2 linked regions of the Ovis aries genome follow. The protein of the gene in region 2 purifies or fractionates together with the protein of the main gene of each other region. This does not show direct contact. Links are inferred from orthologs where the notes say so. Each region holds a gene or a part of one and is shown on either strand. Other genes may lie near its edges. The genes, in order: IMP4 and MPHOSPH10.

Region 1 (4,337 bases), on a different chromosome or scaffold from region 2:
CTTGACAATACCAGCAAGAATGGAAATGCTCTGTACCTGCTCTGGGCAACAGGGTGGCCCCTGGCCAAACTGGCTACAAGCACAAGTGTGATCGAGGAACTGAATCTTTATATTTGATTCTAGTTCATTTAAGCTCTGGTAATCACATGGAACAAGTAGCTACCATGTTAGCACAAGTCCAGATTCTGTTAAGGCCCAGAGTAACAGACTCCTTTACCTCACAACAAATATTTATGCTGTGATTCCTTTCATATTTGTTGAATAATGCAATGAATCAAACATCTGGATACCAATGAAGTACTGGTAGCTGGGGACACAAATGAAAATAACGACACTGTTCTGTCCCAGCAGAACCTACATTCCTAGTGAGAGGGCCAATTAACAGACAAAACGAAGTACAAAGTGGGGTAATACTGTGCCATGTAAACAGAACTGGGAGCACTCAGTGAGAGGTCCCCTGAGGTGTCATCTGTGCACAGCCATGAGGGTGCCTGGAAGACCGTTTCAGGATCAGGAGCTTCACAGCCTTTCTTCAAGGTGTCTCAGGAATGACACAGAAGTTAGTGGACTCAACTGCAGGAAGAGAAGCTGGCCCATAGAGTCAGGGAAGGTCACCTTCACCGCCGGCATCCTCAAACTCCAGAGACCCCTGTAAGGCCAGAGCTTCCTTGCGTAACTCGGTGGGAATCAGGCGGTTCTCTGCAGGGGGAAAACAGAGAGGTTGAGAAAGACATGCATAGAACCTTCAGTTTTTACAACACTGTACAGACTTGATGGAAAAACACCCCTTTACTCGTTTCTGAGCAGAGAGCTGATATGTAATTAGAGGTGGAGGTGGTAATGAAACAATTATTTTTGGCTATATGCCACCTTGTTAAGAGTGTTTATAGATGATTTCATTTACTATGGGTCCTGAGTGTCAAGACTTGAGAGGTTTCTAAACTATGTACCCACAAGTATGCATTCCCTTTGTAGTCAGAAAAAAATTAACAACGTTAAAAAAATAAATGGAAACTACTCATTCTGTATTAAGGTGGATCAGAAACCCTCAAATCCTCTGACATTAAAATCATTAATTGTGATGCTCTGGGTCAGAGGTTCCCTCTGTGAACTAAGGCTAGATTTGGCAGAACGGCTGGGCTGTGTGGCCATGCCCACTTTGGAGCATGTCCTTTGAACCCAGAACTTCTAACATACCCTGGACAAACTCTTGCACACTGAAGACAGTGTTCACAGCAGCAGGGCTGACCCAAACTAAAAATAAGCTGTCCACCCCCAACAGTGAATTGGATGAAGACCCTGTGGAATATTCACCTGCAGGAGCCTCACCTACACTCAATGTATCTTAGTAACAATGCCAAACAAAAACATAACGTGGCAAAAGAATACACAAAACCTAATACTACCTAAAATCAACCAATGTGATTTAGTATTACAAACAAGCATGATACAGGCAAAAAAGAAGAGGAAGGAAATGGCTTATTTTTAATCAATATTCAATACTGTGGTTCTCTAGGTCGGCGAAAATATTTCTGAACTTCAATATATTTATCAGTTTCATTTTTTAACATGAGTAGATAGGTCATTACAGCAGGAGCTCAGTCCCAAGGGGATCCATGGGCAGCAGTCTGCCAGGTTCCTCTGTCCCTGGAATTTTCCAGGCAAGGATACTGGAGTGAGTTGCCATTTCCCACTCTGGGTTTGAACCCACACCTTTGCATCAGCAGGGTAGATTCTTTTACCACTAGCACTGAGAAGCTCTGTTTTACATTATGCTTGACATAAATATACATATACATACCACAATACTTTACATGTCTAAAACCTAAGACAATCAAAGTGAATTTAAAACAGAGGTATTGAGTTGATGTACTATCAGGAAACAGAGCTCCACCAACACAAGAACCAACAAGATACATATAAATAAAGCATTTCCAATCAGGCATGTGTGACAGACTGCTTTAACAGCAGGGCAAATGGAAAGTGGGCAAAATATCGCAAAGTTAAATTCCTAATTTACAACGCAAATAAAATCAAGTTCTACACGAATTAACAGTTTTCAAATACAAGGGACTTGTAACAGTAGTAAAAGACAATCAGATATTACCTTGTAGTGAAAACAGGTAGCAAGAACAGAAACGATGCAGGGGAAATAGGTATAGGACCACGTGAAATGTTTAAATCTGGAAAGGCCTAGACACTGCAACTTAGCGACTAAACAACAATAAAGACACTGTAAATAAAATTAATAAGCAAGCTGTAAAATCTGGATACTGTAACATAAATGACAAGTAATTCATACCATCTTGAAAGGAACATTTGCAAACCATGAGGAAGATCGAACAGTTAGGAAAATGGCCAGTAAATACGTGAAAGGATACTCACCACCCTAACAAAGTAAACGCTAATTAAACGCGTTTTACAGCATTGGGGCCTGTTTCTTGTTGGGTTTTAAAACTACGGTCTCTAGAAAAGATCGGAGAGCGGGGGACACACGTACCCTCAAGCGCGCGCCGAACCTTGTCTTTCCTCTCCTGGGCCGTTCGCTCAGCCTCCTCTCGTGCCTTGCGGTACAGGTACTCGCGGCGAAGGCGGGCCTCGCGGCGCAGCTGGGGAAGAGCGGGCCCATTCAGACGACCCGTTTTCGCCAAGCAAAGCAGGCTCCAGAAACATACGCCCCGACCTCACCGGCCACAACCCCAGCTTCCACGAGCCCCCGACCTCCAAAACAGGAGTTTAAAACATCCCTCCTACCATCCTGAGCGCAACTTCCACGTGGGTCCAGGAGAATCTTTGGATACCGCTTGCGCAACGCAGTCCTCGCTTCCGCCGGCCTCACTTCCGCCCTTAATCAAAAGTCGGTACAGACCTCATCGGATTCCGCTGATTCCTACAATGCCCGAAGTTAAAATGGCTAACAGGTGGGAGTCGATTGGCCAGACTGAAGGGCGTGCTCACTGAAGCAACCAATAGGCAGGATAGGGCAGCAAGGTGCTGTCACGCGCTTAGACCGGCAGTTAATAAAGGCGACAGCCCGGCTTCACTACCTACCGCGAGGAGGCGAATGTTCGATTTGAAGGTGAGGAACCCCTAAAATAATCATAACTGTAGGCTCCAGCAGGTGTAAAAGCTGTTCAGCGATTGACCAGATGATCGCCTACTCGCCCATTCTGAAATTAAAGCCGCCTCTCCTTTAAAATGGACGCCTCGGTTTCATCGCCACTCCGACAACCCTACGTTTAAGTCGCGGCCGCTTCCAGAAGTGATTCGGAGATACCCACAGCTCTTGCCGACTGTCCGGGTGGCTGGTCCCCTTCGGATGCTTGCCTGACGAAGGTTATCACTTCCAGGGTCGCAGCTCTGAGGCCGCGCTGATCCTGAAAAGCGCAAAGCAGCCAGCCACAATCCACCCAAGACTGGGAGCCCCAGAGAGGGCGGGCCTCGCACGCCTATTGGCTGTCCTGCTAGGCCGGCGGACACTGATTGGGCGACCCGTCAGGAGCCGGCTCTCGACCCTGCGTAGCAGATGGCTTCTCGGGATCTGCGGGCAGAGCTGGACTTTCTTCTCCTGCAGCTCCTCGAAGACCTGGAGCAACTGGAGGCGAAGCGGCAAGCGCTAAACGCCCGGGTGGAGGAGGTGGGAGCTTCGGGCGGGAGGGCGGACTGGCCAGCGCACGGAAGTTACCTTGTTTCACCTCTCTCTTCTCTCTTCCCAGGGCTGGCTCTCGCTCTCCAAAGCGCGCTATGCAATGGGTGCCAAGTCAGTAGGGCCCCTGCAGTATGCGTCCCACATGGAACCCCAAGTCCGCGTCTGCACCGGGTGAGGAGCCTTGCATGCTGCAGCGGGTGGGCGGACAGAGGGCCGGGCCGGCGCCGCCAAAGGTCCAATCTCCCTTCTCGTTCTGTAGCGAGGCTCAGGACGGACTCCAGAAGTTCTGGATGGTGAGAGCCGGCACCCAGACTCCAGAAGAAGTGGGATCCCGCGAGGCAGGTGAGCTCCCCCTCTTCTTCCCGTCGGGTCCCTTCCCATATAAAAGATAAAATGCATGGGACGTCTGAGGAGATGATTTTATTTAGGCTGTTGCGATAGAGCGCGCCCCAGTTCTGAAGATCTGAATCTCTCAGCAGAGCGGGTTTTTTGCCTTAGATTTATAGGGGGAATAGAAAGTTATGAGTGAGTCCTTTACCGTTAGAACTGTTTTGCAGTCAGAGGAAGTCTCAGCTGAACAGATGTTTATTTCTGTGTCTAGCTAGTTTCAGGGGGACAAATTTCTAATCCCAGTTAATCATTCATGAGACAGTGGGGAGTTGAAGGGTGTGTCTGGCTTTTCAGCAGG
Region 2 (3,813 bases):
GGAGACCTTTTTAGAAAACATGGAAAAGGAAGAGGAACACAGAGATGACCAAGAGGAAGATGATATTGATTTTTTTGAAGATGTGGATTCCGATGAAGATGAAGGAGGACTGTTTGGAGGCCAGGATCTTAAGGTAAAGTTTGGGGAGAGGACAGAGTGTTCTTTCTGCTTCATCACATGAGATGGGGTTCTGTTTCTCCAGAAGAGGGTTAAAAGACTTCAAAATTCACCAGAGGATCAGTGAAATATTTAGATCAGTTTTTTTTTTTAAAAAAAGAAAGGGACTGGAGAAATTAAAGCAAAGCCATCATTTCCTTATCATGAAACACTCCTTTGTAGCTTCAGAATCACAGTCATCCATGTTACGGAGATTCAGAATTTTCCCTCAAACATGGATTTTCACCAAGCACTAAGAATAAGAATGAAAGAAGATATTTGTATACTTTATGTAGTCAGGGATGTTTTGGAATTACTTGTAGTTAGAAGATTTTGAGAGAAGATTGTGGTGCTCTGTCTTACCAGTTATAAATGAATCTGTGCTTCTGTTCAGTTTGCTGTGGTCTAATAGTTCTTAGGGTTTTGTAGTAGTGTTATTGTTGCCGACTTCCCCTATACAGTATGCATACACATTTATGCGTGATTTAATGTATTTTTCTATCCTTGATTAAAGGTTTTAAAAGTATTTTTGTTTTAGTCAGGTAAAAGTTCCAGAAACCTGAAATACAAAGATTTCTTTGATCCAGTTGAAAGTGATGAAGATGTAGCAAGTGTCCACGATGATGGGAGTGAACTGGCTTCAGATAAAGAGGAAGAGATTGCTGAAGAAGGAGAAGAAAGCATTTCTGAGACGTGAGTATTTTGAGTCCTTTACGCTGTAAGCTGGAGCTGCCCAGTCATCTGTGTACTACTAATCATCAGATGTGATTGTCCTTAGAAGTGGGATTCTCTAAGGTCAGACAGTCTCAGAATAGCCAGAGGAAGTCTCCAAATTTGAAGGGACGTCAGAGACGACCTAGTGCAAATCAGTGTGACTGGCAGTAGCAGGCAGACCTTCCTTACCAGGAGCTCTGATATGTTTTCTGTGCCAATAAAAATACCCTGTTGTTACTTAGGTGAGATAAGTCTGTATTATAGATTGATAAATAATTTGTTTTCTAGATATTGGATACTTTGTTCTATTTTACCTAAATACTGGAAGTTCTTAGTATTTAATTGCATTGTCTACAAAAGAAATTTAACTGCTAAGTTTGTTTCTTTTTGATATTCTAATGAAAACTGGTATGCTTCCTTTCATAAGTGTTTTGGTCTCATAGGGATGAAGATGATGACCTTGAAGAAAGTGGAGACAGTAAACAACATAAAGAAACCTCGAAAAGAGTGACCTTTGCTCTGCCCAATGATGAGGACACTGAAGATACAAATGTCTTAAATGTACAGAAAGACTATGATGAAGTCAAATCCTCTTTTGAAAAAAGACAAGAAAAGGTAATAATTAGCAAATTTAAGGGACTTTTAAATTATGTTTAACAGTGACTGTTGAACTCAGACTACCAACTAATCTGCCCTGGTTTTCTGTGTGTGTGGATGGCAGGGGGCTTGTTTTTTTTGATGGTACACCTAATTATCCTTTAAAAAAAAAATCTTGTTGCTCTCTGTGGCAGTGCTTCCACGTGGGAAGCAGCCAATTTACAAAATTCAGTGCTGCCTTTCCCCACCTGTCGCTTTCAGTATGGAGCCCATGTGTAAAACTTGTTTCTCTGGCCTTGCTGTCTTTATACCTGAGACAGGTTTTTTCCTAACTGGCTGTCCTATGAGCCTCTCCTGGTAACCGCTTCAATTGCTTGTATCGGAGAAGGCAATGGCAACCCACTCCAGTACTCTTGCCTGGAAAATCCCATGAATGGAGGAGCCTGGTAGGCTGCAGTCCATATGGTCGCACAGAGTCGGACATGACTGACAGGACTTAGCAGCAGCAGTGAGGTGCCGTGCAGCCAGAATTCTAATTAATAACATCTCAAACACATTTTCCAAAGTTGATAAAAATTATTTCCTTATGACATGCTGTCAGACAAACAAAATGTTGTTTGAAAATAATAGATATAGCCTGGCTCCAGACATTGTGCTTTATCATTTAACTGTCTTAAAATTATATCACACAGCTTGAAATGAGAATAAGTAAATAACCAAAGATATCAAGGATATCAAGAACATTATTTTAAAAAGAGAATCTGAGTTAAACCTATGATTATCAGATTGTTCCTGAAGAGAAAGTCTTTAAGGGGAAAAAAGTGAAAGAAAATGAGAAATTTGTCCTTGAATTAGTGACCTTCCCTTCTTACACTGCCACAAAAAAAATAAATAAAGTGGCTTTAGTTTACTGGGGAATTGTATCTGGCCTTCAAGAAGTGGATAATTTAGTACTGTTTGATCATTTCCCTCATATGAAGAGTGAAGCTTCCAAATTGTCTTCTTGTGAAACTATGATTACATGAATACCCAAACCTGACAGGTAACCTTGTAACACGCACAGTCTCATTTGTGAATAGTGATGTAGAAACGCAAAATAGTGCAATGAAAGAGTAACGTTACCACAGCTGTGTGGGCCTCATCCTCTTGATTCAGGATTAGGAAATCTATTAATGTAACTTAATACTTGTTACAGTGGGTTAAGGAGAAAAATCATGTAGTCACCTCCATATGTGTCAAAAAAAAAGACATTTAGTAAAATTCAATATTCATTCCTAATTTTTTTTTTTTTACTTTTAGTGAAATATAAGCGTATCTAGCCAAAATCTGCCATCCTGCTTACTGGTAGAATTCTAGGAACGTCCCTTTAAAATCAAGAGTTAGACTTATTTCCATTACCACTGTTACTATTTCCACTGTTACTTAAGATTCTTATAGAAGTGTTACTCAGCCAGGGCAACTATGAAAGAAAACACTAATAAGAGATGAGAAAACCGAAATGAAAGCTTTCATATTTGGAGAGAGAACTAGAAAAACCAAGCAGGTGAACTAGAAAGCTATTAGGAAAAATAATTTGGTATGGTTACTGAAAATGCTATCTTCTTGTACACAATTAAGTCATTATAGATGCCACCTCTTTAGACATTAGAGATAATTTGGATTGTGGGTGTGGATCAAGGGGGTAGTATATACGTGCTCAGTCGTGTGTGACTCTTTTGCCACCCCCTGGACTGCAGCCCGCCAGGCTCCTCTGTTCATGGCATTTCCCAGGCAAGAATGCTGGAGTGGGTTACCATTTCCTCCTCCAGGGGATCTTCTCAACCCAGAAACTGACAGGTGGATTCTTTACCACTGAGCCACCTGGAAAGCCTGGAATCAGAAGGTTCAGGCTCCATCAGATACTGATGCTTTGATAAAAAATTACTTAGTCTTGGAATGCCCTAATAATTAAGTTGATAGTGGCTTGTGAATAAATAAAATAGGTCAGTTTCACTAGAATAGAGCCCAGAAATACACCCAGATGCTTCTGGGAGAAGTGAGTAAATACTAAACATAACATTTCAAATGAGTGCGGAAAAGAGGTCATTTACAGCTCCTTATCCTACCTCCGGATAGGTGTAGAAGTCACTATTGCCATCCTTAAAAAATGCAAAGACAAAGCGGGATTTTTTTCAGAAACAATGCATTTCTTGCTCTCCCGCTAGTAAAAATATTAGTTGCTTTTACTCACCTGTATGTCTGTTTCCAAATGTGTGGTAACTCTTCCTGTCTCTTTCTCAGATGAATGAAAAAATTGCATCTTTGGAAAAAGAGTTGTTGGAGAAGAAACCTTGGCAGCTTCAAGGA

The links.
Region 1: the proteins of MPHOSPH10 (region 2) and IMP4 purify together in Homo sapiens (affinity purification with mass spectrometry; 3 studies listed by BioGRID and IntAct, with this or other methods). This does not show direct contact. The link is inferred for Ovis aries from reciprocal best matches to the Homo sapiens genes MPHOSPH10 and IMP4.

The regions. Positions count from the first base shown.
Region 1 is NC_056055.1:114,188,995-114,193,331, reverse strand, and holds the start of IMP4 (U3 small nucleolar ribonucleoprotein protein IMP4), read right to left. Parts: upstream 2,807-4,337; 5' UTR 2,758-2,806; coding exon 2,755-2,757; intron 2,610-2,754; coding exon 2,501-2,609; intron 700-2,500; coding exon 616-699; intron 1-615. Other genes in the region: CCDC115 (coiled-coil domain-containing protein 115), read left to right, coding at 3,527-3,637, 3,717-3,820, 3,909-3,991. UniProt on the Homo sapiens protein: Component of the 60-80S U3 small nucleolar ribonucleoprotein (U3 snoRNP). Required for the early cleavages during pre-18S ribosomal RNA processing. Part of the small subunit (SSU) processome, first precursor of the small eukaryotic ribosomal subunit.
Region 2 is NC_056071.1:25,153,822-25,157,634, forward strand, and holds part of MPHOSPH10 (U3 small nucleolar ribonucleoprotein protein MPP10), read left to right. Parts: coding exon 1-133; intron 134-694; coding exon 695-849; intron 850-1,313; coding exon 1,314-1,485; intron 1,486-3,747; coding exon 3,748-3,813. UniProt on the Homo sapiens protein: Component of the 60-80S U3 small nucleolar ribonucleoprotein (U3 snoRNP). Required for the early cleavages during pre-18S ribosomal RNA processing. Part of the small subunit (SSU) processome, first precursor of the small eukaryotic ribosomal subunit.